4 linked regions of the Arabidopsis thaliana genome follow. The protein of the gene in region 1 interacts with the protein of each later gene in a biochemical or structural test. Each region holds a gene or a part of one and is shown on either strand. Other genes may lie near its edges. The genes, in order: GP ALPHA 1, NDPK2, PD1 and GCR1.

Region 1 (8,972 bases):
GTAGGTTTAGAAATTAAGGATGTTCTAGTTAACCTACTTGTCTTCAAAGTCCTCTAATTTATAGTAGTTGTTGTGTCTTATTCGTACTGACCGACCTTTGAGTTTTCAAATTTATTTATATATACAAAAAGTTTGCTTTTTTTTTTTTGTATTAGTTGTATAAAAATGTTGAAGTTATTTTTGGTGGATATATTTATATTGTTCTAAGCTCTATGCTGATATTTTTTTCAGGAGAAACACGATTCCATGTTCACATTAATCCTCACAATAATATTGAAAAATAACGCAAGTTGTTTTCTTTTTCTAATCACAATATAATCAATATTATTGATTATAAATTCATTCAGTTGTTTGTACTTAGACTTCATCTCACCAAAGTCTACGGGCTATATAATTTTGCTTATATATTCAATGAATTGAAAATTGTCTCTCGCTCTACATTCCAAATACGATCTCTCGTTTCATTATAGACTTAGTTCTGTCTAATAGTTTTTGTTGTAATAATTTAGGTAATTTAAAAATGATTTTGTGAATTTAATGGTGTCTCTCTATATTCCACTATCTCGATTTCTAGTTTCATAAGACTAATTAGTTATTTACTAATAGTTTTTGTTCTAATAATTTAGGCAATTAATTTAAAAATGATTTGGTATACATTTCAGGCTGGCAAATAAATATTACGTATAAAGAAGATTTGATTCGCCTTGTTGAAAGGAGAATGAGATGATTAGGCCATAATTGGATGTCCGTTGACTTTGTTTCTTCCATGATTAAAATTTAAGAAGTAAGGAAGAGAAACAAATTTGAACCATTGATTTTGTTACTCTTAACTAAATAATCATTTATTCAATAACTAAAGGTCGGTTGGTCTTCAGGTACGAACGTTCTTCTATACTAACTTGTAAATTGTAAACGTAACAGATTGTGCAGTAGAGATTGCGGTTACAAATGTTTGACAACGATCACAAAAATTGTTTAACACCGCGTATTCTTCCGCCAACGTTTGCGGCAGCGGGTGGTTAAAAATTACACTATTTTTAAGTTTTAAATTCAAATAAATTTAATAACTTTTTTGACTCTTGGAGTCATGCTCTGAACACAAATGATTCATTTTCCGGAGAACATAAGTGCATTGTATCCGTCTAATCGTCCCAACATACTTCACTATAAATGTAATTTAATACTAACAATTAAATTGAAGTGTTGTTCGTCGCATGCATGTATGTACGTACAATAATTATATAGTTTCATTATCATAGAACTGTCGGGGAAATTGTGAATCATCACCAGCCGCCACATGAACTTATTTGCCGTTGTTCTGGTTTAAGGCTGGTAAGATTTATTCGGCGGCTGTAGGCCTGTAGCCCTTGAAATATGGTAGACAAGATCGTCCATATAATTAAGATTTTGTTTTTCACTTCTAAATTAATTAATGGGTGACTTGGGCGATTTTGTATTGTTGTTTAGTGGCTAGAAAGAAAACTTTTAACGATAAATTTACTTATGCAAAAATTATATTAGTTTAGTTTAGCAACTTTATATGTACTTAATTAGTAAAATAATACATTTAAATGTAAACTATTTGTACATATTAATGTTGTCCAAACAATATGCACTTTTTGAATTTTTTTACTGTATTCTCCACCTAGTTTTTCTAATTCATCCAAGCATTTTGATGAATTTGCATGTCTCCATAGATGAATTAGTATCTACTATCTCTAAAAACTCAATCTCCACCGAAGATATTGCTTAACCAATGTGCTCCTAGACCAAATCCAAAACCTTAGCCGCTTCATACTTAACATCCACTTTTGTAGCATCCTCAAACTGTTTTACAACCTTTTCAACCGGGACACAATCGCCTTGTCTTAGTAGTGAAGCGTAGGTTAATCATGGATGATGATTTTTGTTCTTTGACAACATCTGGTAAGGTTTTTGGTTTATGGCTCACCCTTTTTACTTTTTCGGTCTTTCTTATATAGTGTTTTGGTGGGTTTTTTCTCGTTCATTTTTCACGACCTTCTTATCCTATTACTAGGGTCATTAAATTGTTCGTTAGGTTAAAGAGATTTACAATATGAAACCGATTATGTCCATTAAAACGTGAATAAGACAGAAAAGAGCACCAAGAAAATGAAAAATAATTTAATGTATGTTCAGGAAATCCTATGAAAACATAATGATTGATCGGGTTTATTGGTTTTGTAGCTGGTGGTTTAAGTGGTTAGGGAAGCTATGTATTTATAATTTATTGATTCAATATGGTTTTGCATCTGAAATATATTTAAGCCCAACCAATAAATATACCATCACTCGCCAAGACCGTTTCTCAGTGGAAACATTTTGTGAGAAGTTCAAGTCGATGTTAATGATTGTAAGGATTTAACGGATGTGATGTTTTTGTAGGTTGAAGATTTAAAGTACTATATGATATGTTGTGTTTTTATCGATTTTGAATCTTTATTTTCTTTCCTAAATCAAAACTGCAATATATTTCCTAAGCTAGCAAAACCCATTCTAGATATAAGTAGAGTCCAGCTTGTAATGCAACTGCAAAGCAAAAATCAAGATATTTCGATACAAGGACTTGATGTCATAAAATTCCAAATTTGTTTTGTCTTGCCACACTTAGTAATTCTCTTCCAATAATGGTTAACTTAATAGTATATAAAATAAAAATGCATATAGGTTCCGTAATTAATCTTCTTTATCGTCACGAGAGGCACATCTTTTTTCAACATTTGACCACTCTCTCTCTCTCTCTCTCAGGACCTTTCGGCGTAATTTCGTCTTCCCCTTTGCTTAACATTTTCTTTCTTTCTTTTTGACCAAATATTAAAAATATATCCATTTTTATTTTATTTTTAATTAAATTCATAATTTGCATTTTATGTATTTATAATAAAAAGGAGAGAATAAATCCAAAAGAGTGAAGCAAAAACATTAAAGCGGAAAGAAAGTGGTAAAACAATAATAGAAACAGGAGAAGCAGAAGTACTACTTCTTCTTCTTCTGCTCTCTTCTCAGACCTTGTTTTGTACTTTCTTCTTCTTCTTCTTCTTCTTGTTTGCGAACTCCGATATCTTCTTCACTACCTTTGACTCCATTTCTTTTTCTTCTTCAGGTGAATTCTACTTTACTTTTCTTCTTACCCCAAATTTACTCTTTTGGGTTTTATGAAAGTTTTGTTTTTTATTACTCAGATCTTGTCCTAGTTCTCCTCCTTGTTCTGTTGTTTTTCTGTTTCGTTTCGAATTGGTTTTGTTTTTCAAGTTTAGGGTTTTGTAGATCAGTTCGTCGTTACTGTAGATTGGAAATGAAAATTATGATTCTTTGGATCTGATTATAGCAGTTCAAGTGTGAACTCTATCTATTACTTGATTTGCTATCTCACAGTTTTTGAATTTCTTAATGGTGTTAGCTACTCGACTTTTAGAGCTCATTTTCTTAACTACTGAACTTGTTTCATTTGAGAGGTACTAATCCAGTATATATTATAAAGTTTAATGCTTTTTCTTACTTGCATTCTTTGAACATGTTTGCTATTTTGGTGAGTGAAACTTTATGTATATTTATGAATTTTGAGCTAAAGTATTGATTGTTTCATAAGTAGGTGTAGGCATTGTCTTGTTATGAGAAGCAACTGTAGCTGGAAGCTCAAGTATTTGTTTTTAGCTGTGGAGCTTGAATCTTGATAGTTTTCGACTTCTATGTTATTACCTGTGGGGATATAGAAACAATCATGGGCTTACTCTGCAGTAGAAGTCGACATCATACTGAAGATACTGATGAGAATACACAGGTTGACTTAAGAGCTCTTGTAACACTCGATGTATGGGAGCATTATTTCTGATACTTCAAGAGTTAACTTGGTTTGTATTAATCTACAGGCTGCTGAAATCGAAAGACGGATAGAGCAAGAAGCAAAGGCTGAAAAGCATATTCGGAAGCTTTTGCTACTTGGTATGTAGACCTTGGATTAGAAATGTGAATGGCATGCCTTGATGAATCTTTTGGTAATAGTTTTCCTCTAATTTTCTGACTTGTGTTTTGTAAAGGTGCTGGGGAATCTGGAAAATCTACAATTTTTAAGCAGGCAAGTCCACAAGGAAAATTGATTGTACTCTTTACTTAAATTTACTTATGAATCCTGCTAATTGAATGATACAAATTTACTAATTTGCAGATAAAACTTCTATTCCAAACGGGATTTGATGAAGGAGAACTAAAGAGCTATGTTCCAGTCATTCATGCCAATGTCTATCAGACTATAAAAGTATGCAATACTTGAAATGACTGTGTCGGTTTTATCCTTCTAATTGGCGGTGTTTTCGAGTTCTTTTGGATTTACAATCTAGAGAATCATTTATATGAGTAATCAAATTTTTTTCATATGTTGATCTTGGTATATTGTACATGTAGCTTAATAGCTACTCTATATTGTTGAACAGTTATTGCATGATGGAACAAAGGAGTTTGCTCAAAATGAAACAGATTCTGCTAAATATATGTTATCTTCTGAAAGTATTGTAAGTGGTTAGATTCATAGGTCACTTGAGCTGTCTTTGTTAGAGTTTTGAGTCTTGTGAGTACCTTGTCTTATGGTAGTCAACTTATTATCGTAATATCAGGCAATTGGGGAGAAACTATCTGAGATTGGTGGTAGGTTAGACTATCCACGTCTTACCAAGGACATCGCTGAGGGAATAGAAACACTATGGAAGGATCCTGCAATTCAGGTGTGTTTGTGTGTGTGTGTGCACGTTTTATTTACTATTGCACTCAAAGTTGAATACATGATTTAAACGTTTCATTTTGTAGGAAACTTGTGCTCGTGGTAATGAGCTTCAGGTTCCTGATTGTACGAAATATCTGATGGAGAACTTGAAGAGACTATCAGATATAAATTATATTCCAACTAAGGTATAACCAAAGTATCATTCTTTGTTGAAAACATTTCAAGTAATGATCTTAAAATGGTTGAATAAAACTCATTGGATCAGCCTCGGAGGATCAATGTATTAACAAACAGAAGCCTTTTGCTTTCCATATTAGCCTAGTTGAGCTAGCATTTTCAGAGACCAGAGTCAATATGCAATTTCTGTGACATGTGTCTTCCGGAATGTGTTGTCATTGGTGCATTTTTTCTATGTTGGTGTTTCAGGAGGATGTACTTTATGCAAGAGTTCGCACAACTGGTGTCGTGGAAATACAGTTCAGGTACCAACTACTTTTTGTTTTACCCTTTTTCCTGTTTGATTGTTAGTCTTTCATAGATGAGTAATTGTTTGATAAGCTCTAAGTGTTAGTCTGGTTCACTAGGCAATATGATTAGCTAGGCGGTTTGTAGTAGCTGTGTTAACAGCTCAGCAACAATCTTGTTAATGTAGTCTCTCTGCGATGTGTAAGTTATTTGGTGAAATGAATAAAAGTGTTTACGGATTCGATTCCTATGATTGCCACTAAGATGTACTAATAGAACATATGAATTCCATACCAATATCAAACTTGTTGTTGTGGTGAATCTACTTGTAATGATCCGTTACCAAAGATGAATTCACAAATGGTATATGAGATAAAGCTTCGTTTATGCAGCCCTGTGGGAGAGAATAAAAAAAGTGGTGAAGTGTACCGATTGTTTGACGTGGGTGGACAGAGAAATGAGAGGAGGAAATGGATTCATCTGTTTGAAGGTGTAACAGCTGTGATATTTTGTGCTGCCATCAGCGAGTAAGCTCACTTCATTATAAATTATAAGATATCCTCGTACTGTCCACATATTGCCAAAACATTAACTGAGTTTTGATCATAGGTACGACCAAACGCTCTTTGAGGACGAGCAGAAAAACAGGATGATGGAGACCAAGGAATTATTCGACTGGGTCCTGAAACAACCCTGTTTTGAGGTTTTTAGTTACATTTTTATCTCATCTTTTAAAAATTTAAAGACACTCTTGAGATGGGTTTGGTTACAAAAACTTGGTTCTCTTTACGCAGAAAACATCCTTCATGCTGTTCTTGAACAAGTTCGACATATTTGAGAAGAAAGTTCTTGACGTAAGAAGAACTAAAGCATATTTATTTGTTTTGATAGGCAAGCAAGTCTTTTTGTTCAATAACGCTTTCTTATTCAATGTGCATAGGTTCCGTTGAACGTTTGCGAGTGGTTCAGAGATTACCAACCAGTTTCAAGTGGGAAACAAGAGATTGAGCATGCATACGAGTAAGCTTGTCTCCAAACTTTACTGATTCCCGCCAAACTGTTACCGTTATATGACCTTATTTTTAATTTGGATTCAGGTTTGTGAAGAAGAAGTTTGAGGAGTTATATTACCAGAACACGGCGCCGGATAGAGTGGACAGGGTATTCAAAATCTACAGGACGACGGCTTTGGACCAGAAGCTTGTAAAGAAAACGTTCAAGCTCGTAGATGAGACACTAAGAAGGAGAAATTTACTGGAGGCTGGCCTTTTATGACCTTATTATTACATATCTCTAGTAAATTACCTCTCCTTATTATTATAAGAAAAACTCGAAAACTGAATGACCGTGTAATTTATCTTTCGGGACAAAAGACTTAGCGATTCAAAATCTAATGTGTCTCGATGGCTACGACTAGTTTCTATTTTATCATTGTTTTTGTTAACATTCCTCTGTCTTTGACTTCTTATTTTTTTTTCTCATCAAAAACATCTCATTTTGATCTTGTTTTTGGGGTTATATTATTATTAAAATGAGGCATCCACATCCCGAAATCTAGAAAGTGAAACACAACACAAAACGTAACTTTATCAGTACTAAAAAGTTTTGGAATGTTCCTAACATGAAAAAGTTCTTACATTAAAAAAAAGTATGGGGGTGAAACTGAACAAATACAAAATATGATGTAAAAACTGAAATAAAAGTAAAACACATGGGGTCTACCGTGATTTCAGAACATTCGAAAAAGCGACTTTAAAAATAATTGCACCGAAGAAAGAAGAACCCTGAAAGCAAAAAACTCTTCGCCGTTGTTGTTTCTTACGTCAAAGAATATTCCTTCTTCTCTTTCGTTAATAGATCCCAAAAAAAAAAAAAAGCTTCATTGATTCTTCTTCCTCTGTTTTTGATTCCGTTTTCGAGCAATCCTCTGAAACATGTATGTTGTTGTTCTCTCTTTCTTCCAATGGTGTTCTGATTTTGCTTTTTCTGTTATACGATAATGATAACAATCGCTTCTTAGTTTGATTAATACGAAACTCTCAAAGATCACGAAATTGGTTTTGTTAGGGAACCATTTAGATCAAGGCTTGTTTGTGATTGTTGTTGTTGATTCAGCTTTGATTTGATTCGTTAGCCATTGATTTTGATTTGAGAATTTGTCTTTGTTTGATTTTTCTTGCAGAATCTTTGGTACAATTGGAGTTATATTCAAAAGCTTATAAATGTCAAATATGGATCCTAATTCAGTTTTACCTAAGAGAAGTTTCTTACAACATGAGTTGTTTTCACAATTACATATACCTGGAAGCTTAGCTTTCGAAGCATTTAGTTGTATCTCTAAGTTTACAGGAGCTTTGCTTTGTTGGTTTTCACATGGAAACTTGCAAAAAGAAGTATCTAAACATCAATGGGGATTAACTTGTAAGAGCCGTGATTCTTTAAAACATGTGTTTGAACATAGGAACGTCTCTGTGTTCCCATTTCACTATGTATCAAAAGATATTAGTCCTGGCTTCTTTGGAAACATATCTAAATCCACTATTCAGCATTTTGTTAATGAAGCTGAGAGGCTACATTCGTGTTCTTTGCTCTCTTTGGCGGCTGCGATGATACCGTCTTTGAATGTCATGTAAGTTTAGTAATATTGTTTAGTGCTAAAACTCTCTTTGGGGAAGTTTCTGATTGTAGATTTTATTAGGTCTGCAAATGGACTTGCTCTGCCACTAGGGAGTAATGATGTTAAACTTAGGGAGAACATTGAACATAGGACTTGTCCGGAGAACACTGAACATAGGACTTGTCAGGTGGGATGTGAAGAATATAGTGGTTTGAGTTTTCAAAAATTAGACTGGACAAGACAATCAGTGGAGCCTAGGACGGGGATCGAGTTCCCGATGTTGTTGAAGGAGAATGCTTCGCGATCGAATTCTGAGGTTCTTATAGCTTTTTCTTCCTCAGTTTGTTATTCTTTGTCATTACAACTTATGTTAGAGTCACCAAAGAAGAGATTTGATTTAAATTTCGAAAAGTTAATACGTTTTGAATTCATCATAATTTAAGGTGCTTGTTGCAACGGGATCTCGGACAATGAAAATTATCAGAATTAAATCTCTAAAAGTATATGCATTTGGTTTTTGTAAGTGCATTCTAGCTTTGTATCTTTCTATATATATGGAACAATTTGTCATCTTTTGCTTCTAACTTGAACTTCTCTGGATTAGATGTTCACCCTTCCTCGGTCTGTCAGAAGCTTGGCCGAAAGTATGCCTCGGTTCCAGCAAGCAAACTTGACAAATGCGATGACTTATACAAAGACCTTCTTAGGTATTATAGCAATCTTTTTCATATTATTAGAATTGTGCACTTTTATTTGTTTGAAGTCCACTCTAATCTGATTTAGTTGGTGTAGCTTTGATTGGACATTTCGTCTGAAAGTCTTTTATTTGAGTTTTTTTCAGGGAGGATATTGTTATGAGTGTGAGGCTTGTGGTTAACTACAATGGCTTGAAGATCAATACTGTGAGAGAGTAAGTGGAAGTTGCTACATATTGAACATCTTGTATTGTTTTGAACTATGTTCATGAATCGTGAAGGTGTTATGGTCCTTAATTGATTCTCACTTTTAGTTTCTTTTATTTTAATCTATTTACTTGCCATTTGATGATTTGAGGCGCATTACACTGATAGATGGCAAATTAATCCCTTCCCTTGTTTGTCTATGTTTTCAGTGTTTTCGAGAAATCTCTGCGTGCTCGCTTGGTTAAGGTAA
Region 2 (7,276 bases), on another chromosome or scaffold:
CTCCTTGGCCTTGAAAACCTCAACCCTCCAACATAACTCGCTGAACCTAAACCGAAAGCATAGAATGGCTTGTTCTTCCAGTATATCAAGTTGTGTTTGCACTTGAAACCGTCTCTCGAGTAACTGCTGACTTCATAATGTTCATAACCTGCACCACGGAGCATCGATGATGCTGTTTTATAAAACTCTGCAGACTGTGTTTCTGAAGGAAGAGGGGACTGTCCTGGAGTGTACCTACACAAGTTCATGAACCCAATTCGTTTCTGTTCAGATTACATTCAAGTTCTTAAGCATCAGTAAGCAAACTTGAACTACGTACACTTACAAATTTCCAAACTTTGTGCCTTGTTCGACTTGCAGATCATATACAGAAACATGATTGGGCTGTGATTCGATAGCTAATCTCAAACTCTCTTCCCACATCTCCAAAGTCTGGTGAGGCAGAGAAGAAATAAGATCCATACTCCAATTCTCAACTCCACATTCTTTAACAAACTCTATTGCTTCATACACTTGAGAGACACCATGAGCTCTTCCACAAGCTTTCAAAAGCTCATCTTGAAAAGCTTGAACTCCTAAAGACACTCTGTTAACTCCCAATTTCATCAAATCCTTCAGCTTCTGACCATCAAACGTGCCTGGATCCATCTCCATTGATATCTCAGCATCTGGACTCAGCCCGAAATTCAAACTCAATGTTTCCAGAATCAAAGAAACAAGCTTCGGAGGAACAAGAGAAGGCGTCCCACCACCGAAAAACACCGTTTCTAGATTCGGGTTCGTATCAAAATCCGTCCTTGTCGCTTTTATCTCTCTAACAAGCAAATTCACATAGTTCGTGATTCTCGGGTCATCTTCTTTTCCTTCCTCGTAGACATTAGACGGTCTGGCTGAAGAAGAAGACATGCCTAGAGCTAAGATAGGAAAGTCACAATAATGACAGCGTTTGCGACAAAACGGAAGATGAACGTAGGCTGAGGTTGGTGGACCTTTGTGTAACGTAGTAAGATTGGTTGACGCATTTCGTCGAGCACTTGGTGGAGTATCTTGTAGAACAACCTTACTAAAAGCTCGAAAAAACAACTTCGATGAGCACTTGGGTTTACCTGTAAACGATGAGAAAATTGGAGAAATCGTTGTTTTCAGCATAATTACCAAATAAAACGAGAGAAAAAGAAAGAGAGCCAGAGAGACGAAGAGAGAAAGCTTTCAAAGATCAAAGTTCACTGGTCTCGTTTTATATGCTTCAACGTCGTCGTTTTAGTCAGAAAGTAGACTCACTAAAGACTTGACCATCTAATTAACACACTAATTACAATTGAAAAATATTATAATAAGAATGAAACGATTATTCACTTATTCAGACGGAAAAAAAAATGGCGCTAGAATCGATAGTCTCTCTCTCGGAGCTTCTCTCTTCCCTTCTCTCGTCGAAACCACCGTCTCCGTCGAGTCTGAAACCTATCACGCTTCCGTCTTCCGTATCCGCGAGAACGTCACAGCATTTGTCGATGACGACGAAGATTTTAACGGCCGAGCACGATGACGTCATCAATCGAGTGGCGTATCCTTCGCTGGCGAACGCGAATCTCGTATTCTTCAAGTCCAGTTACTACAACGTCGAGGTGGTGCCTAAAGACGGCGAATCGGAGGAGCAGCTGGTTAACGATTTCAAGAGGTCGTGTTTCAGAGCGGGTGTGTTGCAGGAATCTCGAAGACGACGCTTCTTCGAGAGCTCTCTGGAGAAGAAGACGCGGAAGACCAAAGAAGCTGCGAAGAAGTATCGGAAAAGGTCAGATTTTTTTTTCACTTTTTCTTCTTTCTTTCGAAAAACACTTGGAGAAGTTGAGTCAATAGATTTTGATTTTACAGGAGACCAAACCCTAAACCAAAACCACTATCAACTTCAGAGATCCGCAAGCACAACAGAAATGCATCCAGAGAAGACGAACAAGACGATCACTGGGAACTTCCTCCTGAGGACATTGAGATTCCATATACCAACCGGTCTTAGAAGTAAACCGGAATGATATTCCGGTACACTGATCTGAGCAATCTTAATCACGCAGCATCTGCGTTTTGTAAAGCCACTCTTTTGTATGTTCTTTTAGCTTGAGATTAGAAAATTTTCATTGCTCGGTGTAGAGTGAAGATGAATGATTTTGGAGGTGTCTGTAACGTAGAACCAAATGCAGATGAATCTGTAACTAGTTTTGATTACATGACAAGTGATCACAGATATGAGAAGAATCAAGCCATAGATTGGCAGTTATATTATATTGCCGCCCAAAATCAGGAACAAAACACCAAAGCTCATCATCGGTAACAAGAAAACAAGTAAGGACACCATTATAATTGACTCTGTCTTCTCAAGGATCACTCCCTTAGCCATGTAGCTAGAGCCGAATCCCACTTGCATAGCTCGCCCTCTTTGAACCACAGACCTATGCCACAACCACAAGAGCCAAAATGTCAGCAAATGAAAACTAAAAGTTTAGCATACTAAGGAATGAGAGTGATTGGTCAAACTAAGTAAATGAAGAAGTGATAGTAATGGTTTAAAACAGATATATTGAACCTAACAATTTCAGTAATCAAGTATGATCTAATCTAGTTATGTTATCAAGTTAATTTGAAGCAGTTTGAACCACGTTGATTTGCCCCTAAACTGGACATAGTCAATGTCTCAACAATGAAAGATGGGTGAATGATTTGAACAAAAAACAAGAAATCTCACCAATCTCACGCTTGCCGTTTTCAGGGCTGTCACTACCATGCACAATGTTCCTGCAAATTGCATAATTTAAAAATATCAAACCATGAGAATTATTTTAAGTGCTTACTTCCAACAATTTTAAAGATGATAGAAGTCCAACCTTCCGGTTTGCACAGCAAGATCTCCTCTTATAGTACCAGGTTCAGCTTGAAGCGGATCTGTTTTCCCTATTAGCTTCCTGGCTGAAGCAACAACACCAACACCTTCCCAAGCCTTTACCAGGTTTAAAACATCACATGCAATTAACTCATCTAATTACAACTTGAAAACAAGTAAAAATCAAATTAGAGCATAGTTATACCCATACCATACACACAACTGGACCTGAAGTGATGTACTCAATCAGGTTAGGAAAGAATGATTTAGCACTAAGATCCTTATAATGCTCCTGGCAATTGAGATAAACACACAAGAATATTAATTATGTCAATCGAATATGAAAAAAAAATGAGGCAGCGTCATCTTACGCAAATGTAGCGAATAAGTGAAATATGCAAGTCATGATCAGGCTTCAATTTCTCGATACTTGTCAATGATTTATTAGTTATATCACATTAAGAAGCAATCTAAAGTTATCAAACTACTGATGTAATGAGTGAGTGTCAAACCTCAGCCAATTCTTTTGGGCACTGAAACATCTTGAGCCCAATAAGTTTAAACCCCTTTTTCTCAAAGCGAGAAATGATTTCTCCTACCTAAGAACATCAAATGAATCATACATTCATAATTTAAGCCAAGATAGTGTAATGAAATAACATTCAAAGCTCCATAGAGTTCCAAGATACATAATTTAACCTCAAAATCAGAAGAAGAAAAAAAATGAAAAGCAAAAACGCTTACAAGGCCTCGTTGTATGCCATCAGGTTTCACCATAATGTAAGTCTCCTCAACGTCCTCCTGAAACAATACAGAAAACAACGTAAGAACAATCAAAAGGTCACTAAATTGCATTGAGATTCATCAAATTAGAATATATCCAAACTAATTTGAATCCTAAATTCCTGATTTCGGAGTTTAATCAATGTAAGTACTAAGAAAACAAAGTAATTCGCATAAATGGAGGGGAAGCACACAAACCATAGAAGCTACAAGGTGAGGAAGGAAGATTCCCGATTCGGCGGAGCTGGAAGCGCGAAGACGGCGGCGAGACGCGGAATTGCGAGAGAAAAGACGGAACTGAGGACGAAATGCGGCCAACGCTGTTCTAAAATTAACCCTGGCTGGAGAACAGTGTGGATTGAGACTTGCCGAGTTTCTCTCCGGCGGCGAAGCCACACATAGGGGAGTCCATTTACTAACTACAGTCGCTCCCACCATTTTCTGCGCTTTGTCTTAGCTTCTCTCAGTGTCTTCGCATCATCATCTTATAAGAACAAAGTTAATTGACATAAATACCCTTTATCCAGAAGCGAAGATAATTTGGGTTTAGTTGATCAATCAAAAAGTATCAGTGCTCAGAAGTAATTTAAAAAGTGATCTCGAGTACAAAGAGTGTCTCGTTTAAATGGAGGAAACAGACTCTTTCTCTTTCCCTGTACAGTTTACTCTTCTAAAAGATTAAAAAAAACAAAAGTCTGCACATTTCAACAGTCGCACAATTTGCTGCTTTAATACCAAACCAAACCATCTTTCTTGTAGCAAAATTGTTTTTTTCTTTTTCTTTTTTCGTCGATTTAGAATCATTGTCAACAGAGTCACGTTGAAAAATAGGCAATACAGACTCATCGTCTTGTCTTCTAGATGTATCTGGCTTTGCCTTTCTTTTGCTTGCTTTAGCCATTTCACGCCACATCAAATTTACATTTTGTGCATAGAAGAATCAATGCGTAAACATCCCCAACTTTTTCTTTTCATCTTGTTGCTTTTAACAAGACCCGGAAAAAAGACTTCATCAATCAATTTCTACATCTATATCTTCCTCTCCCTGGTCAACAAGGTCAGTTTTTTGCCCTGCCTTGTCCACAACTTCGGTTTCTACCTTTCCATTGCCATCAACTACAGTTTCGTTTCCTCCCTTGTCCGAAACTTCAGTTCCTTGCACTCCCTCACCATTGTCAACAGCTTCATTTTCTTCTACCCCCTTTTCGACAACTTCGCTTTTTTGCTCTCCCAAGTCGACAACTCCAGTTTCTTGTTCTTCTTTTTCAGTAACTCTACTTTCTTGCTCTGGCACATTCGCCAATTGTTCTTCTCCTTCAATTTTATTGATGGATTTTTCATCTTCTTGGTTCCCATTATCTTGTGTCTTTTGGCTTACCAGTTCTTCGTTTCCACAATCGAGTTGGTTCTCTCCCTCTTCTCTGTGAGGACTAAGTGTTTGTCCTTCACTTTTGTCAAGGGAAAGTTCTTTTCCTACTCCGACAACTTCAGTTTCTTGCTCTCCTGTATCATCATCTCTACTACTTTCTTGCTCTAGCACATTCTCCAATTGTTCTTCTCTCTCGCTTTGATTGATTTTTTCATCTCTTTGGTTCTCATAATCTTGTGCCTTTTCGCTTACCGATTCTTCATTACCGCTAGCACGTGGGTCCTCTCTCTCTTTTCTGTGAGGACTGAGTGTACGCCCTTCACTTCGGTCAAGGGGATGTACTTCTTCCACTCCCATATCAACAACTTCATTTTCTTGCTTTCTCATATCGACAACTTCAGTTTCTTGCTCTTCCTTGTCACCAACTCCACTTTCTTGCTCTGGCATATTCTCCAGTTGTCGTTCTATTTCATTTGGGTTTATGGGTTTTCCATCTTCTTGGTCCCCATTATCATGTGCCTCTTGGCTCACCGGCTCTTCATTTCCGCTAACGAGTTGATCCTCTCCTTCTACTCTGTGAGGACTATGTTCCTGTTTTTCACTTCTGTCAAAGGGATTGTCTTCTACTTTTCTCTGGCTAAAGTGTGGCGGGTCTTCTTCTTCATCCTCATCCTCATCCATTTTCATATACAGACCTAGATGTTCTAATGGATTACTGTTGCTTTCCATCTTGAAACTACCCAAACCCAACATATCCTCACTAAACTTGGGACTCATCACTTCCATGGAAGTCGGTAATTGATCACCTTCTGTACCTGTAGCTCTAAGCATCTGGAGGTCTTCCATAAACCGTATGCCCTCGTTTATCTCCACTGTCTTTTCCATCTGCAACAGACCAGAAAGTCATTTATCATGATTGTACACCATGGTAGGGCTCTGAATAATAGAAGAGAAACTCGAAAAGTCTTTTATACCTTTTGTAAAGCTTGACGTGCAGCTTCTCTCTCTTGCTCTCTTTCCCTCCTCGCTTTTTCTGCGGCTTCTGCTTTGGCTTTTCTCCGAGCCTCCTCAGCTGCTTTGGCCTCGGCTTGTAACCGTTCTTTTTCTAATCAAACGGAAATCGCAAGAATTAAAAATAAAAGTATTTAGTTAGGAATTATGGGTACATAAGCACACTCGAATGCACTACAATCCAACCTTCCCGTAGCCGTTTTTCAAACTCCTCTCTTTCTATCCTCAATTTTTCAGGATCCCCTTTTTCACCCTGAAATTTGATGCATTAAATTTTTTGATTAAAACAATCCACAAGTTCAGGCGAGCTTTTTCGTCAACACAGTAGATCGGACACTTAAAAATTCAACCTTGGTAAAAGCCTTCTCTCGAGCTTTCATAATGGTATCAGCAAAACGATTCTTCAAGAAAGCCGCGCGGTAACGCTTATCTGGGGAATCTGGGGAAATTTGCCTCTCAGGTGGAGCAGTCTCCTCTATAATACCAAAGCATGACAGGTAAACTCATGATCTGAAAATAAACATCTATTACCATCTCCAACCTTCCTTAACTTTCATTTCTTACCATCTGGAACGAGAACTACTGCATCCATGGTGGTTGACTTTTCCCCAACAGTATGCTCAAGTTGATCCAATTCATTCAAAGAATCTACAGAGAACAAAGAATGAGTGTCGGGAAGACTTCTATATCCGAGCACTCCAACTTGCATACATCAATTATAAAGAGACTAACCATTTACAACTATCTTCTCACTGTTGCTATCATCCTCTTTTTTGTCTATACCAACTCCTGGTTGCTTTTTTTCCTAAATTAAAGAGGAGACTATACTTATTTTTCTGTAGTAATTTCACTTTTATGATTGCAAATAGTCCATGGAAATATTGGTGAGTAAATGAAAAATCTTGCAGAAATTAGAGCAACATCCAAACACAGAGACTCCATAACATAAGTTATTCCACTGTTAGATATACCTCTCTACTTGTGGGTTTTGAAGCTTTAATAGAATCTGTTTCACTCCCAGAGGAACTACAAGAATCAGAATCTGAAAGATAATCACAGAACACATCAGTATAAAAAGCACTTCCTATGAGTAAAAATAAAGCAAAGGAATCAATTCTACAGTTTGCCAAACCACAATGTAAGAACTTAATTCATTCGTCATAAACGATAACCACAGAAACTAACTATAATATCCTCTATAGCAAGGGAATAACCACACTTACTAGAGCAGAGAAAAAGCA
Region 3 (6,554 bases), 660 kb from region 1:
TAAGTTCATTCCCTTTAGTAGAAATTTTACTACAGTATATTCATGTACATGATGCATTAGTAACAGAAAACTTCAAATGAATTTTAATTATATACTTCCTTTTTTACTAAAAGATGCATTTGTAACAGAAAACTTCATAATGGATTTGAATGCATGAATCAGACAATTTTTATGAATTCAAAGTACGATACATAAAATTGATCTGATATGTATTATTTCACAAATGCATGAAGCAAAACAATCTTTTTCACAAAGTGCACACAGTTTTTTTTCTATGTTTTGTGAAATAAAAGCATGTTAGAAAACTACGTATTTTTATTATGTAGTATGTATTTATGTTGCTTTTCTCATTTCTGTATTAATTATCATAAGATAGATGATATAACGATATCTAGTTTTGAAAGTTTACAAATTATAAACAAGACTTATTTAAGCACTAGCTAGTTAAACCGGGTAAGACTGGAGATAAGACTCTTGCAAGGTTCGACGAACAAAAAAAATAAAAAAAAAGAGGTTCAACGAACAAAGCTAGGCCTACAAGAGTACAAGGCCAAGTCTCTCTTAATTACAAACAAATAGAAACACGGTGTAACATACAAAAAACACATGGCAGGAACAGAAAGCGAAGATGGGACCAAACGGCCGACATAACTGAAAGATGCCGGAGACGTGACCAATCTCATCCTCTTCAACTTGTTTTGCAATTAGTCTCCTCAATAATTGCATAGTATAGTAACATCATTTGGACAATTACGTTGCATAAGTATTAAATCAAAGAATCAAGAAATACACGAACTATTATTGCAGCTAAACTTGACTTATCGAGGGTCGAAGCATAACATAAAATAGATCAATTATTTATGTTGGGCATAAGATTACGTAAGTAAACCTCTTTGCAAAATATTATATGACCAACTTATGTGAGGTTTAACGAAATATCTAATTTTAAACTAATCAAAATAGGAGTGGACCTAATATTAGTTTTTGTTCTGGTATGTATACGAGCTTCTTCGCTTTGATGCTTCACGTGGCCTAATTATATTATAACCATAAAAAGTGTTATGATTGAAAATGCAATTTTATTTAGAAAGATTGAATCTCATGGCTGATATAATAATAAGAAGCAAATTTCGTTAATACACATAATAGAAACGTGGCTATCTGCACAAATTTGATAGATAGCCTTCCACGATACTACCCCAATTTGCATTTGAATTAATGATGCTTTTGCTACGCGACAAAGTTATCTTCATTTTATTTTGAGCAGAAAATGTTCTCTCTTTTATTTTTAAGTTTGGGGATGTTGCCTCCCCCGGATGACAGCATCTCAAGCTTGATATATTATTATCTATCGAAGCTTATATTTAGAATTTAAGGGGGTGATGCTTGATAAAGAACGATAGATGAGAAGTACCATAATATGTAGTTGATTTTTTATGTCGATGGATTGAAGAAAACGGGATCATAATCTTTGTTTTAATTGCCCAAAGTCGAAACTGAAAGAGTCGATGTTGATCTATATCAAATACAGAATATTAACGTATGAATTTTAAACAATAATTGTTATTGATGTCGCTCATGTTTGGGCTTTTCATGTATATGGGTTTCTAATTTACGATATAAAGGCTTTCAGGTTAGTTTGTTTAAGGCCCATGTTTGTTCTTGATAGCAATTATCAAGTGCTTATTATTTGGATTGAGAAAAATCACAAGTTTAACACTATTACAGGGAGCTAAATAACAATTCAAAAAATAAATCACTCAAATTTATTGTTTGTCTTCAAACGCTTAAATAATTAGAACTGATTAGAAATGTCTCAATTATTGTTGGTTAAGATAGTTTGTAAACAAAAAAAAAATTATGGTCAAATAGAGAATAAATCAACTCAAAACTTGCAATTTCATAATAAAACTACGATCAAACGAAACTCCAAAGTATAATAATGTAAACAGCAAAATACAAAAGATTGATCTTTGGAGAAATAAGTAATTTATTTTCACCAAAATTATGTTTACAACTTTCTTCTCCAATTTACATACACAATTGACTTCACACGTTGGTTATGATCTTAGTGTTGTCACAATGAAAATGTTGATGACGAAGAGGACGAAGACGATGGTGACCAAGAAGTCATATCCATCGGATAACTCCCCAAAACCCGTAAAAACGACGTAAACTCTTGAACCTCAGAAAGCGCATTCTGAGCACGTGACTCGGCCATGGAAGCCTCGAAGTCGATATAAAACATATACTCAAAATGCTTAGCCGTGCCCACATTAGCCTCATCGACTAGCCTAATAGGAACATTATGGTTCGGCCTAGACTCAATCTTAGTCAAACTAATGTTCCTAAACGCAAAAGCAGAGAGAACCTTAAACAAAACGCACGTGCCTTTCTCGTGAGCAAACACTATACTCGTCTTAAACGGCCGATCAGTTCTCGGTATAATCGGTTCACGCGCCAACATCACAAAGCGCGTGACGTTACTCGCGTCATCTTGTATCCCATCTTCCAAAATCTCCAATCCGTAGATCTCCGCCGCGCGTGCACTCGCAATCGCGGCGGTGTCACGGATATTATTCGCAGCGATAAACTCCGCCGCACCGGCGGTATCATCAACAGCTTCACGAGCTACGTTGAGACCGAGTTTAGTCAACGTGTGTTCGCATTGAGCTAGTCCTTGAGGATGAGAGATCACACGAGTGAGAAACTCTTTCCGTACACCGGGAAGAGCAATGAGACAATGATGAACCGGAAGCTGAACTTCGCCGACGATGTGAAGACGGTGACGGAGGAGAAGATCGTAATTACGATGAATCGAACCGCCGAGTGAGTTTTCGACGGGTAAAACAGCGCGATCGGCGATCCAAAGCTCAACCGCTTGAAACGCAACTTCGAATTGATCGCAAGGAATCGCTTGACAGTTAGGATAAGCTTTACCAGCGGCGGCTTCGGAGTAAGCTCCGGGAACACCTTGATAAGCTACACGGAGGTTAGATCCATGCATCGGAGCTGGAGATAGATCTGAAATACTTAAAGGCTTCTTCGATTGAATCGATTGGTTGTTGTTGAATGGAACTAGATTCAAATCTGAGACTCCGGCGCCGTTGTTGTGACCGTTGACGGCGGAAACGTGGTAGGATGATGATCCATTGGAATTGGAAGATAAGGATTCAGATTGTTCTTGTGAGTTAACTTTGCTTGAGAGAATGGCGCAGGAGCTTTGCCAATCGGAGCTACTGGAATTAATGGAGAAAGAGTCAGATCTCTTACCGGCGCAATGTATGACGTGTCTTCTTCTCGCCGCCGTTGTTACCGTTGCCGGAGTATGGGAAGGTAAGAGAGTTCTCATTTTTTTATTTTGAGGTTTTTTGGTTATGGAAATGTTTTGTTTAAGAGTAAGTGAAGAGTGTTGTTGTTATAGGAGAAGAGAGGAAGAGCGTGGAATGATCTTGTGCCTCTCACCGTTCTTCACCTACCTACCACCATTTGCGTAATGGTGGGCCAAGAGAGATAAGCCCAAACGATGTCATATCTTTTTCAATCCAAATTTTTCTTGAATAGTCTCACTTTTTTTTTTAATAATCTCAAACCAAAATCCATATTAATCCCTAAATTTATGCAACTCAAATTGTATTTGTTTATCATCCAATTTATTTATTTAAGATATTTATGGTACATATAAAAGTAGCAAGGGAAAGGTTAGATCACATCCATCTACTTTTGTTTTATAGTATTTTAGGTACCAAACTCTTCCAAATAATTGGATATTTTTATATACCATTTGTATGTTATAACCAACTCTCAAAAGTCTAAAGTCTAAACTTTAAACCAATCCATATACGTAACTGACCCACCAAAATCTTTTAAATTCGCAATAGATTTAACAAACAAGGAATAAGATAGATAGTGAGAAAAAAGAATAACTCTAGTTACAAAAGCATTTGATCATAATCTATATAACTTACAACAACATGACTTCCATATTCTCTGTTTCAATAACCAAAAACTCTCCAATTGACAAACTTGTGACCCAAGAAAAAGCTTCCACCGTGTTATAAAATTGAGAGACTACTAATCAAAATAACAGAGACGACGGGAAAAAGAAAAGAAAAAGAGGGATCTCTCATCTGACATATTTACCACTTTTTGCCATTGTGTTGTTGTTTTATCAAATGCCCACCCATTTGACCCATCTGAAAAACCTCCCCACCCGAAACGGCAGTTCATAGTCTTTAGCAAGTGCTGGTTCTCTTGTTGCAGTCTCACTGTCAGACCAAACATAAACTCCGCGTTCTTGCTTGCTCCCCGGGACCGTGTTGTCCAAAATCACAGCCATGATGAACGCAATCACCATGCTCATTGACAAGAGCGTGTTCATCACGTAGTTCATCTGCAAATACACTAGAAGATATGAAAACTGAAGGTCCTGTGAAAATGAAAGTGAGCGCAAAGCGTAACGTACCCCTTTGTATTGGCTTTTGAAGGGTCCATGTGAAGAAACAATGTAAGGTTGGTAATAACTTGGAACAGAGAGATTCGAGTTTGGAGATATGCCATACTGCTGGAAGTAAGCTGGGACAGAGAGAGAAAAGAACAGCGACAACCCAACAATTATGATATTCCGCGAGCTTCCAGCTTCACTATAACGTAAGTTGGAAAGACCTAAAGCCGTAAACATTGCCCACATGAAGCACAGAAGAGAAGCAACCATGACTTGCGGAATTGATGCGAGAAACCCTCCAACCTTACCTGAGGACATCAAAAACTGTTTTAGTCAAAGAGAGTAAAAAATGGTACCTGTTGTACAGTTGAGCTAATTTTCAGATGCTATTGATGTATAGTTACTTGTATTTGCTAAAGAGGTCATGTAAATTATGAAATAGAGTTACATTCAAAAAAAAAATTATGAAATAGAGAACTTGAAACTTGAAGATAAATAAGCAGTGCCACTTACTTACCAACAAGAGAAAATATAACCAAAACACACGCGCCTAACTCAACAACTCTGCGGCTTCCCATTTTGGTCACAGCGATTGTGTGAACGTTTTCGGTTAGAGTGGTTGAACCAGTACCTGTACCCCAAAGACCGGCTAAGACACTTGTGAAACCTTCAAGACCGATTGCCCGACTCACAACACCACGAGTTGGAGGCCTCGATGCTACTAATAGAGAAGAAGCATGGTACGAACCAACCTGACAGTAAAATAAAAAATTACCATATATGCATACCGTACCGTAAACTGATTAGTAAAAGTGCAAAAGTTTGACTTCCAACACATAATTTTGATGGTTTAATCAAAGATGATAGGAAACACTAACCGAATCTACTGAAGCAATTACGGAGACCACACACATAACAAAAGCCATTTTCCAGTTGAATAACGGTACACCCCATTGCAAGGGGTAAGGAAACCTAAACCATGGGGCGGAACTCAGCGCATGAGAAGTATCAACCCGACAGTACTTCATTCTGGTCATGTATTTTCTGCAGTGGGTCGATACAACATTTGAGACAGGAACGTTTGGGTCACAACCTTTGTAGGTGTAAGCTCCTGTTTCAGTTAAAAGGAATGCAGCAGCCCAAGTGATTGCAAGACTCAATGGAACCTGTCAGTAAGAAGTTAAATTAGGTCAGTCAAAGTCACATGTAGAGTTGGAAATGTCAGATGATTACCACATTATCAGAGTTGATTCAATTGAGGTAAAGATTACTCGAGTCTTACTTTTCCTATATACCGAAAGAGCTAAGGAAAAGCAGACATGAACCTACTTACCGCATAAATAAGGAAAATACGATGGCTTAAAACTGAGATTTTCCGGAGGTACTGCAGAAAGAATGGGAAAGTATCAAATTTTGTTGACATGAACCTGATGTGATATGAAATTTTTGAAGTAACATAACTTCAAGAAGAAAATCAAAACTTGTAACTAGCATCCAAACAAACTCCATTTGCAAAGAGGGCGGATAAAAGTAACTTCACTAAACTTACAAGAGCAAAGATGATCACAAGTAGTATCTGCACAACACCGATCTCAAGACATTTACCAACAAGCGGGAAACCATAGCTGTAAAAGGAAAGTCCAACTGCAGCTACCGTCGGAGCAACAACTACTGGATTGACCAACCTATACAGAAGGTCAAGAGAATTATGAATACAAGTTAATACTGCACCACACAAAGCCACAACAACCATGTGTAAACAAAACAGCAAATAGGACAAACTCAGAGATGTATACCTCAAAATCAGTGACATTAGGCCACTGTATCCAAGCACTGCTTGAAAAGCTGAACCAATTATGATTGCACCTTGCAGCTCCCTCATGATATGCTTGAAGTTCTACCGTATTAACCAAAACACAAAACTAGAACAAATTAACAAACCATAGAAAAAAGAAGAATTGCTATAGACAAACACAGAATAATCAGAAATGCCAAGAGTAGAAAAGGATGTTTTCAATCCACCCTTGCCTAGTGCAGAAGTCTTCCTAATGACGATTTGTTATTTCTCGCTAAGTAAAATTTGCCATAAAAGTTGAAAGAGAGCTCCAAC
Region 4 (7,736 bases), on another chromosome or scaffold:
TTACTATTATTCACTGATCGATTTGATTTAATTAGATTTCGCATGATGTGTTTTTGTTTTGTTCAATTGTTATTTTTCAGATGCGAGAAAGTTTTTAAAAGGATAAAGTTCACTTGAAACAAATAACAAAAAGTAAAAAAAAAGACATAACCAAGAAAAATGATTAGGAGGAGGTTTGTATACAGGTCAACTAGAGTTGATTATATTTGTGTGAAGTAGTCTATGTAGTAATGTTTTAAAGGCATCAGATTTCACCTTTTTCTTGAAGTACATATTTGTTCAGTACTAATAGTACTAGAAAAAGTTTGTCACCTGTTTTTGTATAAAAATGTATTTGTTGTACTTTGTTTGAGATTGCATCATTTGAATCTATAAAGTGTAATCATGCAGTAGTTCCTTTGATCTCTCGTGTCCAAAGAATGTTATTTTTGTACATTGACGAATGGTTGTGCTACATCACAAGAGAAGAAGAAGACAACATAGTGGTAGACTGGTAGTCATTAACATAAGGAATTTAAAGGCATAACAAAAATAACCTACCAATCTCCATCCAAATGCTATGTATCATACGCCGTCTTCTTGTTATGGACCCATATTCATTTTTGAAAGGTTACTGTATTGCACAAACCACAGATGCAGCTTCTTTTATGGTCTCAATTGCATGCATTAGAGCTACAATATTCAAGTCTTTAAGTACATGACGCTCTCACTCTGATCTCTGATCCATAAACATCAAACTAAATTGAGTAGGCACAAATTCACCCTTCTTAGGAACATAATGGTAATGTATACCTTTGATTTTAATCTCTCTAATATCATTACTTTGCAGATCACAACAAAGAATGTACAACATATCAAACAAATAATCTGGTGTCATTATAACCTTGCCACTTTGAGTTATACCTTTTAACTCCAATCCAATCTAACGTTCTTGACCAAATGCAGCGGACAAGGTTGCAAAACCAGAGTTTTCGCCAACCACTCCTTTGTCCTGACATCTTCTAGAACCCATAAATTCACTGTACTCTTGTCTTCAAGATCGGTATGGTAAAAAACAGTTACTTTTCCGCCATATTCTATAAGACACACCTTCTTGATGGCTCTATGCAGGCTCACATCTTCTTCCCTGTGAGGTACTCGATCATTTTGAATTCTTCATATCCGATGTCGAAGCTCACAACCATATAATTAGACGAATCAATCCAAGCCAGGTAATGTATAACCCCATTCAATGATAGTCCTTGTCTAAGAGGAAGGTGAGGATAAAAGTCCACGGGAGGCAAAGTCACCTTTTTCCACGAACCTCCAGGTTTTAGGTCAAAGACCCAATGGTCTGATGATAAAATAAAATATCCGACGACAACTGAGCAGAGTAACTTTGTACTGTTCGTTAATAGGGTAATGTCCAAAATAGTAACACCACTTCGACCTTTCTGGAGCCGAGGTTTTGGTTTTTAATTTTATGGTGGGCAAGGTCACAAGTTGTCTGGTGGTAGGGTTATACATTCGCGGTTTTTTCAAAAATGTGTAGCAGATGAAGCCACTAAGTTTTTGTAAGATCTTGCCTCCCCTATCTCGGATGGTCAACAACAAAGGAGGAAGATGGACTAGTAGCGGATGGAGCTAATGATAGGATTTTAGAGGGACGGTAGTCCTCGAAATGTGATACACAAATGTAAATTCGTTGAGATGGGACCTTAATGAAACGACTGGTAAAGTATGGACTATGGAGAGCGTATGATAGATGACCAGAGCTTTGAGACGCACTTGAATCCATTAGGGTTTTAACAGGGAATCTCGTAAGAATCTCTGTCACCACATCCGTTGGAATCTCCAGTAGTGCTTGGCTTCGTCTTCTTTTCTTCTTTCTCCACTGTTGGATCACTGTTAGACGAAAAGACAAACCCATCTCAATCCCCACCCGAGTTTGAAGACAGAGTCGTTCAGTCTTGGGGAGAAAGAAATCGCGGTGATCTCTAGGGTTTTGAAGATTGATACGAATTTTGTAATTCCTCTTTAGAAACGGCGCCGGTTTAAGTGATAGTATTTTCATATGACTTACGTAACAAAACTCTTCAACATTGTCGTCCAAGAACTCCAAGTTCGTTAATTTCAAATCAAGATCAGAAGACCTCACAATAAAAAAGTTCATACAAAAATAAATAAATTGTTAAGTTCGTGTTCCCAAAGAATGTTTCATATACATTGACAACCTGTTGTGCACCCCCCTTCACCATATCTAAGAGAGAAACACAAAACAAAACACACTTACTGATCCATGTAAACGGAAATTAAAGACAAAACAATCATAGAGGAAACTTACCAATCTCTCCATCCAAACGCTATTATCATCGCCGCCTTCTTGTTATCGGTCCAATGTATTAGTTGAAAGTTAGTGTCATTGCTGGTCCTCGGTCTTGAGTGATACCATTTCGCTTCGCTGTTGTTGTTGCTGATGTAGAATCAGATGGTTTTTTGGTCTGAAATTGCTTGGAAGCCATCGATATAGCCGTTCTGGCAAGAATCTAGCAGACCAAGGGTTTCATAAAAATCAAGCTTCATTGATTATTGGGAATAATATAGCAAACCAAAGAGATCGGTGGTGACTTACAGCTCCAGTCTCTCATGGATTGCTCGACGCACTGAGCTGTTGAAACCATAGGCTATTGAATTGAACAAGCCCTGAAAATACAACATTCAGAACATCGACTCGGGAAGAGCAAAGATGATCTATGGCGAATTTTATAACTTATTTATTTGATAGGTTTGCTACCATTAGTGCAGCTGTCCCAACGTCAAGAACTGAGAGCCAGAAGATCTTATGCCCTGGCTCGATGAAATCATGGATACGGTTAATAGTGCCGAATGCCCATGATCCTATTAGAATGAGTGGATAGTATCCCCATCTGTTCAACACCTGTGGTTTCAGGAAACAAGCAGTGAGGTTTTAATGATGAAATCCAGCCACATGATACAGAACTAGTATTGGCAATAAAGACAGACCTTTAACTCTGCTCTATTATCAAATTGATCGACTCGGTCTGACATTCCAACTGCCATCTGAAATTAACATTGCCATTTCAGCACACAGCCAAGTGTATCAGTAACGTTTGTGAACTACTTTCAGAAGACAATGTTATTAGAGATGAGAGAGTTACATACACGTCTAGCATTTCTTAGCATCCGTATCACTTGGAAGTAAGTAAACCCATTGTAAAGAATGGCTCCCCAAAGAGGAGCGTAGAAAGTTAAAAAATGAACAGCCTGCAAAATTCAAGAGGTGATATGAGTTCCAGTAACGAAGAATAAAATACTAGTCTACATTCATCTGGCCCAGCGTTGCAACAAAAAAGTTCAAATGCCTTTTGATAGGCATTGAAATCTTTATGCTCAACTAAGCATTCTCACTTGCCTTTCCCTTAAGACCAGTTTGCGTCCAGCACCATGGCCCCAAATGTGAGTGGTTGTTACCAAAAGAACGTATGACAGTCACAACCAAGGAAGTCCCTGAGAAAAGTAACTAAAATCAGAGTCTTACTAAATCACCAAAGAAGATACTAACACATTCTAATCCTTAACCCTAGGTGGATATAGTAACAATTGAGAACCGAAACCCACGAGTATCATTTTACATACCCCATACATACAAATGAAACATTGCTTCCAAATCCTCCACATCAGTTTTATGCTTGACAACAGTACGATGAAGAGTGAAAGCAATTGTAGTTGTCCACAAGAACGAAGCAACGCAGAAGAAATGAGTAGTGTAGCCTTGTGCGTAACAAATGAACCCCTTTGAAGGATCCCTACAGTGATCAAGATGTAACAATCATCTTATCAAAATAATCTCAACAAGATTCACCAGAACCAATAGTAGTAGATAAACATACCCAACGATTAGGAAGAAACTGCAAAGCATATCCTGCAACAATTAAAAACATTGCCATTAGTCAGCAATAGAGCTCGAACCCTCACTACTCATCTCAGAACGCAATGGAACTTAACGTCTTAGCGATGTAACAATTCACAGTGAGAATAATCGAAGAAGAAGGAAGCAAAACAGTACATAATCCTAGATCTAGCACAATCAGCGAAAGGCAACAACGGGAAACTTACAGAGAGAGCAAGGTAGAAGACGAGCTTGAAAGAGAATTTTCGAAGTTCTTTGAAGAGGCAGTAGCAGAGAACGATGAAGGCTGAGCCGACGAATGAGAGACTCGAAGCGCCGGTGTTAATCGCCGTAATAATGCTGCGATCCCCGGCAGTTAAGCCTCCGCCGGCTGTGAGAACCGCCGACATTGTTATATGTGATTCCAAAACTGATCTGAGAGATTGAATTGACGATTTCCGCTGTTCGTGTTCGTCGTTTCCGTCGCGTGGTATCTTCCCCGACGGACGTTGCGTGGTGGGCTAACCTCTTACCCGGGTCGGATCGGTCGGGTCAAGTCGTGTCTTTTGAACCGGACTCCTCGTAGTGCACTTCTTTAGGCCCAGCCCAATGATTTTGTTAAGCATTAATTCATATATGCTATATTAATTATTAAAAACATTTATATGATGTTATTTACATGTCAAGTTATCACATATTTTTGGAAAATTTTAATTTTATACATGTATGAATATTTAAATTATACTAGGTAATAACTTATGTTATGCACATGTAAATATTATACTATTTAATTTTATAATTAATCTTATTTATAGTATACTCTATATAAAAATAAATATATATATATATATATATATATATAATATTATAACAAATTATGTATACTATTGTTTTTAAATAAATTATCTACACGACTATACTATCAATCACCGAGCACAAAAATACCTAGGCATGGCCTTCTGACCCGTTTTGCCCCTTTCAAGTAAATGAATTTTGGACTTGTTATAACATATAAAATATGATTATTTGCTAAATAACTTGATTTGGCTTATTACTTGCTAAATAATTTGATATTGCTTGTTACTTGTAAAATAATTGCAACTTGAATCGAAAAAAAATCTCATATACAATAGAAATTACAAAACATTCAAAGTTTCAAGCATCCTAAGCACAAAACATTCAAATAAAAATAAGTTATATATAAGCAAGTAATATATATAACAAGCTTGTACTTGCAAGTCATAAATTTATACTATTTATTAGCTGATTATTAACGACAATTATTTGTTTTTCAAAACGAATATAAAACACGTACGTAAGAACTAATAATAAGCAAATAACGAGCATTGGCTAGGTTGTCAGAATGTTGAATAGAGGCGGCGAATAAGTCTAAGTGGCATTGCTATCTTGTTGAGTTAGTATAGAAGTCCACGATTGCTTTTACGTTTTTGCGTTAGTTCTCAGAGAAGTTGTAGACTTCTATCTTGAAGTTTTGTGGACGGATCTTGGATAGTTTTGCTCGTGGCAATTAAGATGATGATTCCAGTTCTTCGGTTTTGTGGCAACCACACAATTTTCTGAGCTTCGCGGGTTCGGAATCGGTGTTTCTTTTTGCAATTTGGCTTTGACCACTTAGTAGTGATCCTTTGCATCTTGAGTTGTAATGTTGTTTTTATATTTACGTAGATTGCTTTAATCTGTTTCTAGTTTTCTCTGTAATTCTATCACAAACTAAAAATAGTATAAAATTTCACCTTTTACCAAAAAAAATAACAAGTATTAGTACCCTAATTTACGATAGTTAATGGCTGTAAGGCTAAAACTACCAAGCGGAGAAGACCATAAAAATTATAAAACATAAAAATATAATATAATTAGGTTAATGATGGAGACATTCTTCCACACATTGACACATATTGCTTCTCGTGTCCTCACTCTTTGTATATATAAGTTCATGGATCTCCCTGATTATTATTTATGTATTGCTTTTGGTCGTAAACCCCGTGGCTAGACTTATCACAATTCGTAATATAATTTACGTATACATGTTATAATGACTGTTTATTATATATATTAAATGATTTTCGTGTGCTAATTTACCCAATGACATATCATCTACTAAATGGCAACAAACGTACAAAAACCAAACAGACGAATTTTGTCAATCCACACAAAATTACATAAATTTAATTAGTACAGCAATTACGAATTATCTTCATACATTGAAATTTTATGATGGCTTGTCTAAACATGTTAGTTACGTTGCAATATTATCCCGACCCGCTCAGACTGAGAATTACATAATAGCCTTTCTATAGTCAAATACAAATAGTTCATACACGAGGTGATTGTTAGTAATACATTATTGTGAAGTACTGAAATTTTTTAGCTAATATTACTTACAAAATTCCTGGATTAATTCATTATCATGTCCGAATATATTCTAAAAAAAAACTTCTTGATGACTTAATTAACAACGGATCAAAAAATTTATTCGTTAAACCATAAAATAAAAAAAATGGCAAATATATAAATAAACATTTACTATGAGTCTATGACATACTAAATCATTGATATTGGCATAAATAACTCTGGAAATGTTTACTTCAATTGAGAGGTATACGGAAAAATACTCTTCCTCTAGGAACATGACCCATCATCTAATCCAATTTTCTAATTTGGATAATTTATAACACATGTCATTATCCTTTCGGTTTTATTCGATCTTTAGTTATAGTTTGCATACAAAAAGGGTACACCTGATTTTGTCCGTATTAAACTATTGTTTCATTCGTACTCCATTTATGAAATAGATCTCCATTTATGAAATAGACGTCTACATATGACTTACATATACATGATTTTTTTTTTGTTTCTTTCGTTTTCCTTATACTTTAATTATTAAACAATATTTTTCTTCCGGTTTCCCCAAGTTTTTAACCCTTCCAAGACATCTCTCGTACCATTAAGCTTATATTATTATTTTTTATAAGAAATTCCATATAAGAAACCTATTCATTTTCATTCCTGCAGAGATATAAAGAACTCACATAGTCACATATGAATATAATATCATCATATAAGAGCTGCATGTGTAATCAGCGAGCATCATCCTCATCATTAATGAGAATGTAAAGAGCTTTTTTTTTGGGGAAGACGACTATCACCAGTATTCATCTTCCTTCTTCCAGAGTTTCATCTCCAAGGTACTATTTCTCTTTAATGCCTTAAGTGATATGTATCCTTCATCTGCCTCTCCATATCTCTTTTTGAAAATTAAGGAGAATAAACAGCGATTTCATTGATCTTTGGTCAATGTCTTTGTTGGATATATGGGTTTTAGTTTCTATTATATACAAACCCTAAACTCTTTTTGTTTCACTAAACCACAGTTATCAATTTATCATCTGCGACCAAACTTGAATATATAGAAATCTCATGTTGTAGTTTTACCTATACTACATTGTGTTTCATTTTTTTTCTTTAATTACCCACTAATCTACAAATACGGAAGTTCTTTCGCACAACACACGCAAATTAATCTTAACGATTCTTACTTGAGAGCTTTACATGGTATATCATTTACGTATATCTATCTATCCTATTTTGAAATAACCATGTTATATATAGTACGTACTTATGATATCTTTTCTACACTAATGTAATATATACAATATACTTTGCTACGTTTCGGAATCAGGTTCGGAATTAACATTTATTTGTGTTCATATTTAATTCGATGATCAAGTATTATGTATATGTCTTACTAAAACACAATATTTTAGTTTGTTTATTTATTTTATATAACTCTTTACTTCTTCTGCGTTTTCCTTAAAGATTACTTCAT

The links.
Region 2: the proteins of GP ALPHA 1 (region 1) and NDPK2 form a complex in vitro, tested with the Arabidopsis thaliana proteins (one study listed by BioGRID).
Region 3: the proteins of GP ALPHA 1 (region 1) and PD1 form a complex in vitro, tested with the Arabidopsis thaliana proteins (one study listed by BioGRID).
Region 4: the proteins of GP ALPHA 1 (region 1) and GCR1 form a complex in vitro, tested with the Arabidopsis thaliana proteins (one study listed by BioGRID).

What each region holds. Positions count from the first base shown.
Region 1 is NC_003071.7:11,194,345-11,203,316, forward strand, and holds GP ALPHA 1 (G protein alpha subunit 1), read left to right. Parts: upstream 1-2,651; 5' UTR 2,652-3,124; exon of another isoform or gene 3,125-3,476; intron 3,477-3,613; 5' UTR 3,614-3,742; coding exon 3,743-3,802; intron 3,803-3,890; coding exon 3,891-3,963; intron 3,964-4,058; coding exon 4,059-4,096; intron 4,097-4,186; coding exon 4,187-4,276; intron 4,277-4,451; coding exon 4,452-4,529; intron 4,530-4,631; coding exon 4,632-4,739; intron 4,740-4,821; coding exon 4,822-4,923; intron 4,924-5,164; coding exon 5,165-5,220; intron 5,221-5,595; coding exon 5,596-5,730; intron 5,731-5,812; coding exon 5,813-5,906; intron 5,907-5,997; coding exon 5,998-6,057; intron 6,058-6,143; coding exon 6,144-6,223; intron 6,224-6,300; coding exon 6,301-6,478; 3' UTR 6,479-6,758; downstream 6,759-8,972. Other genes in the region: FAP2 (Chalcone-flavanone isomerase family protein), read left to right, coding at 7,426-7,832, 7,902-8,136, 8,264-8,339, 8,425-8,527, 8,662-8,730, 8,932-8,968. UniProt on the Arabidopsis thaliana protein: Exhibits a fast rate of basal nucleotide exchange. Guanine nucleotide-binding proteins (G proteins) are involved as modulators or transducers in various transmembrane signaling systems.
Region 2 is NC_003076.8:25,369,746-25,377,021, forward strand, and holds NDPK2 (nucleoside diphosphate kinase 2), read right to left. Parts: upstream 4,160-7,276; 5' UTR 4,094-4,159; coding exon 3,854-4,093; intron 3,674-3,853; coding exon 3,617-3,673; intron 3,472-3,616; coding exon 3,385-3,471; intron 3,165-3,384; coding exon 3,084-3,164; intron 2,990-3,083; coding exon 2,877-2,989; intron 2,788-2,876; coding exon 2,738-2,787; intron 2,445-2,737; coding exon 2,377-2,444; 3' UTR 2,159-2,376; downstream 1-2,158. Other genes in the region: AT5G63290 (Radical SAM superfamily protein), read right to left, coding at 1-234, 326-1,149; AT5G63300 (Ribosomal protein S21 family protein), read left to right, coding at 1,377-2,030; NPX1 (nuclear protein X1), read right to left, coding at 4,668-5,909, 5,999-6,129, 6,222-6,288, 6,386-6,510, 6,600-6,683, 6,768-6,840, 7,007-7,077. UniProt on the Arabidopsis thaliana protein: Major role in the synthesis of nucleoside triphosphates other than ATP. The ATP gamma phosphate is transferred to the NDP beta phosphate via a ping-pong mechanism, using a phosphorylated active-site intermediate. May activate MPK3 and MPK6.
Region 3 is NC_003071.7:11,853,606-11,860,159, reverse strand, and holds PD1 (prephenate dehydratase 1), read right to left. Parts: upstream 3,590-6,554; 5' UTR 3,353-3,589; coding exon 2,078-3,352; 3' UTR 1,872-2,077; downstream 1-1,871. Other genes in the region: NAT12 (nucleobase-ascorbate transporter 12), read right to left, coding at 4,172-4,752, 4,962-5,196, 5,323-5,610, 5,778-5,828, 5,994-6,129, 6,241-6,341. UniProt on the Arabidopsis thaliana protein: Converts the prephenate produced from the shikimate-chorismate pathway into phenylalanine. Together with GCR1 and GPA1, required for blue light-mediated synthesis of phenylpyruvate and subsequently of phenylalanine (Phe), in etiolated seedlings.
Region 4 is NC_003070.9:17,825,916-17,833,651, forward strand, and holds GCR1 (G-protein-coupled receptor 1), read right to left. Parts: upstream 4,506-7,736; 5' UTR 4,300-4,505; coding exon 4,117-4,299; intron 3,923-4,116; coding exon 3,891-3,922; intron 3,807-3,890; coding exon 3,637-3,806; intron 3,508-3,636; coding exon 3,413-3,507; intron 3,265-3,412; coding exon 3,163-3,264; intron 3,061-3,162; coding exon 3,004-3,060; intron 2,918-3,003; coding exon 2,774-2,917; intron 2,683-2,773; coding exon 2,612-2,682; intron 2,526-2,611; coding exon 2,399-2,525; 3' UTR 2,324-2,398; exon of another isoform or gene 2,240-2,323; 3' UTR 2,038-2,239; downstream 1-2,037. UniProt on the Arabidopsis thaliana protein: Together with GPA1, may regulate the cell cycle via a signaling cascade that uses phosphatidylinositol-specific phospholipase C (PI-PLC) as an effector and inositol 1,4,5-trisphosphate(IP(3)) as a second messenger.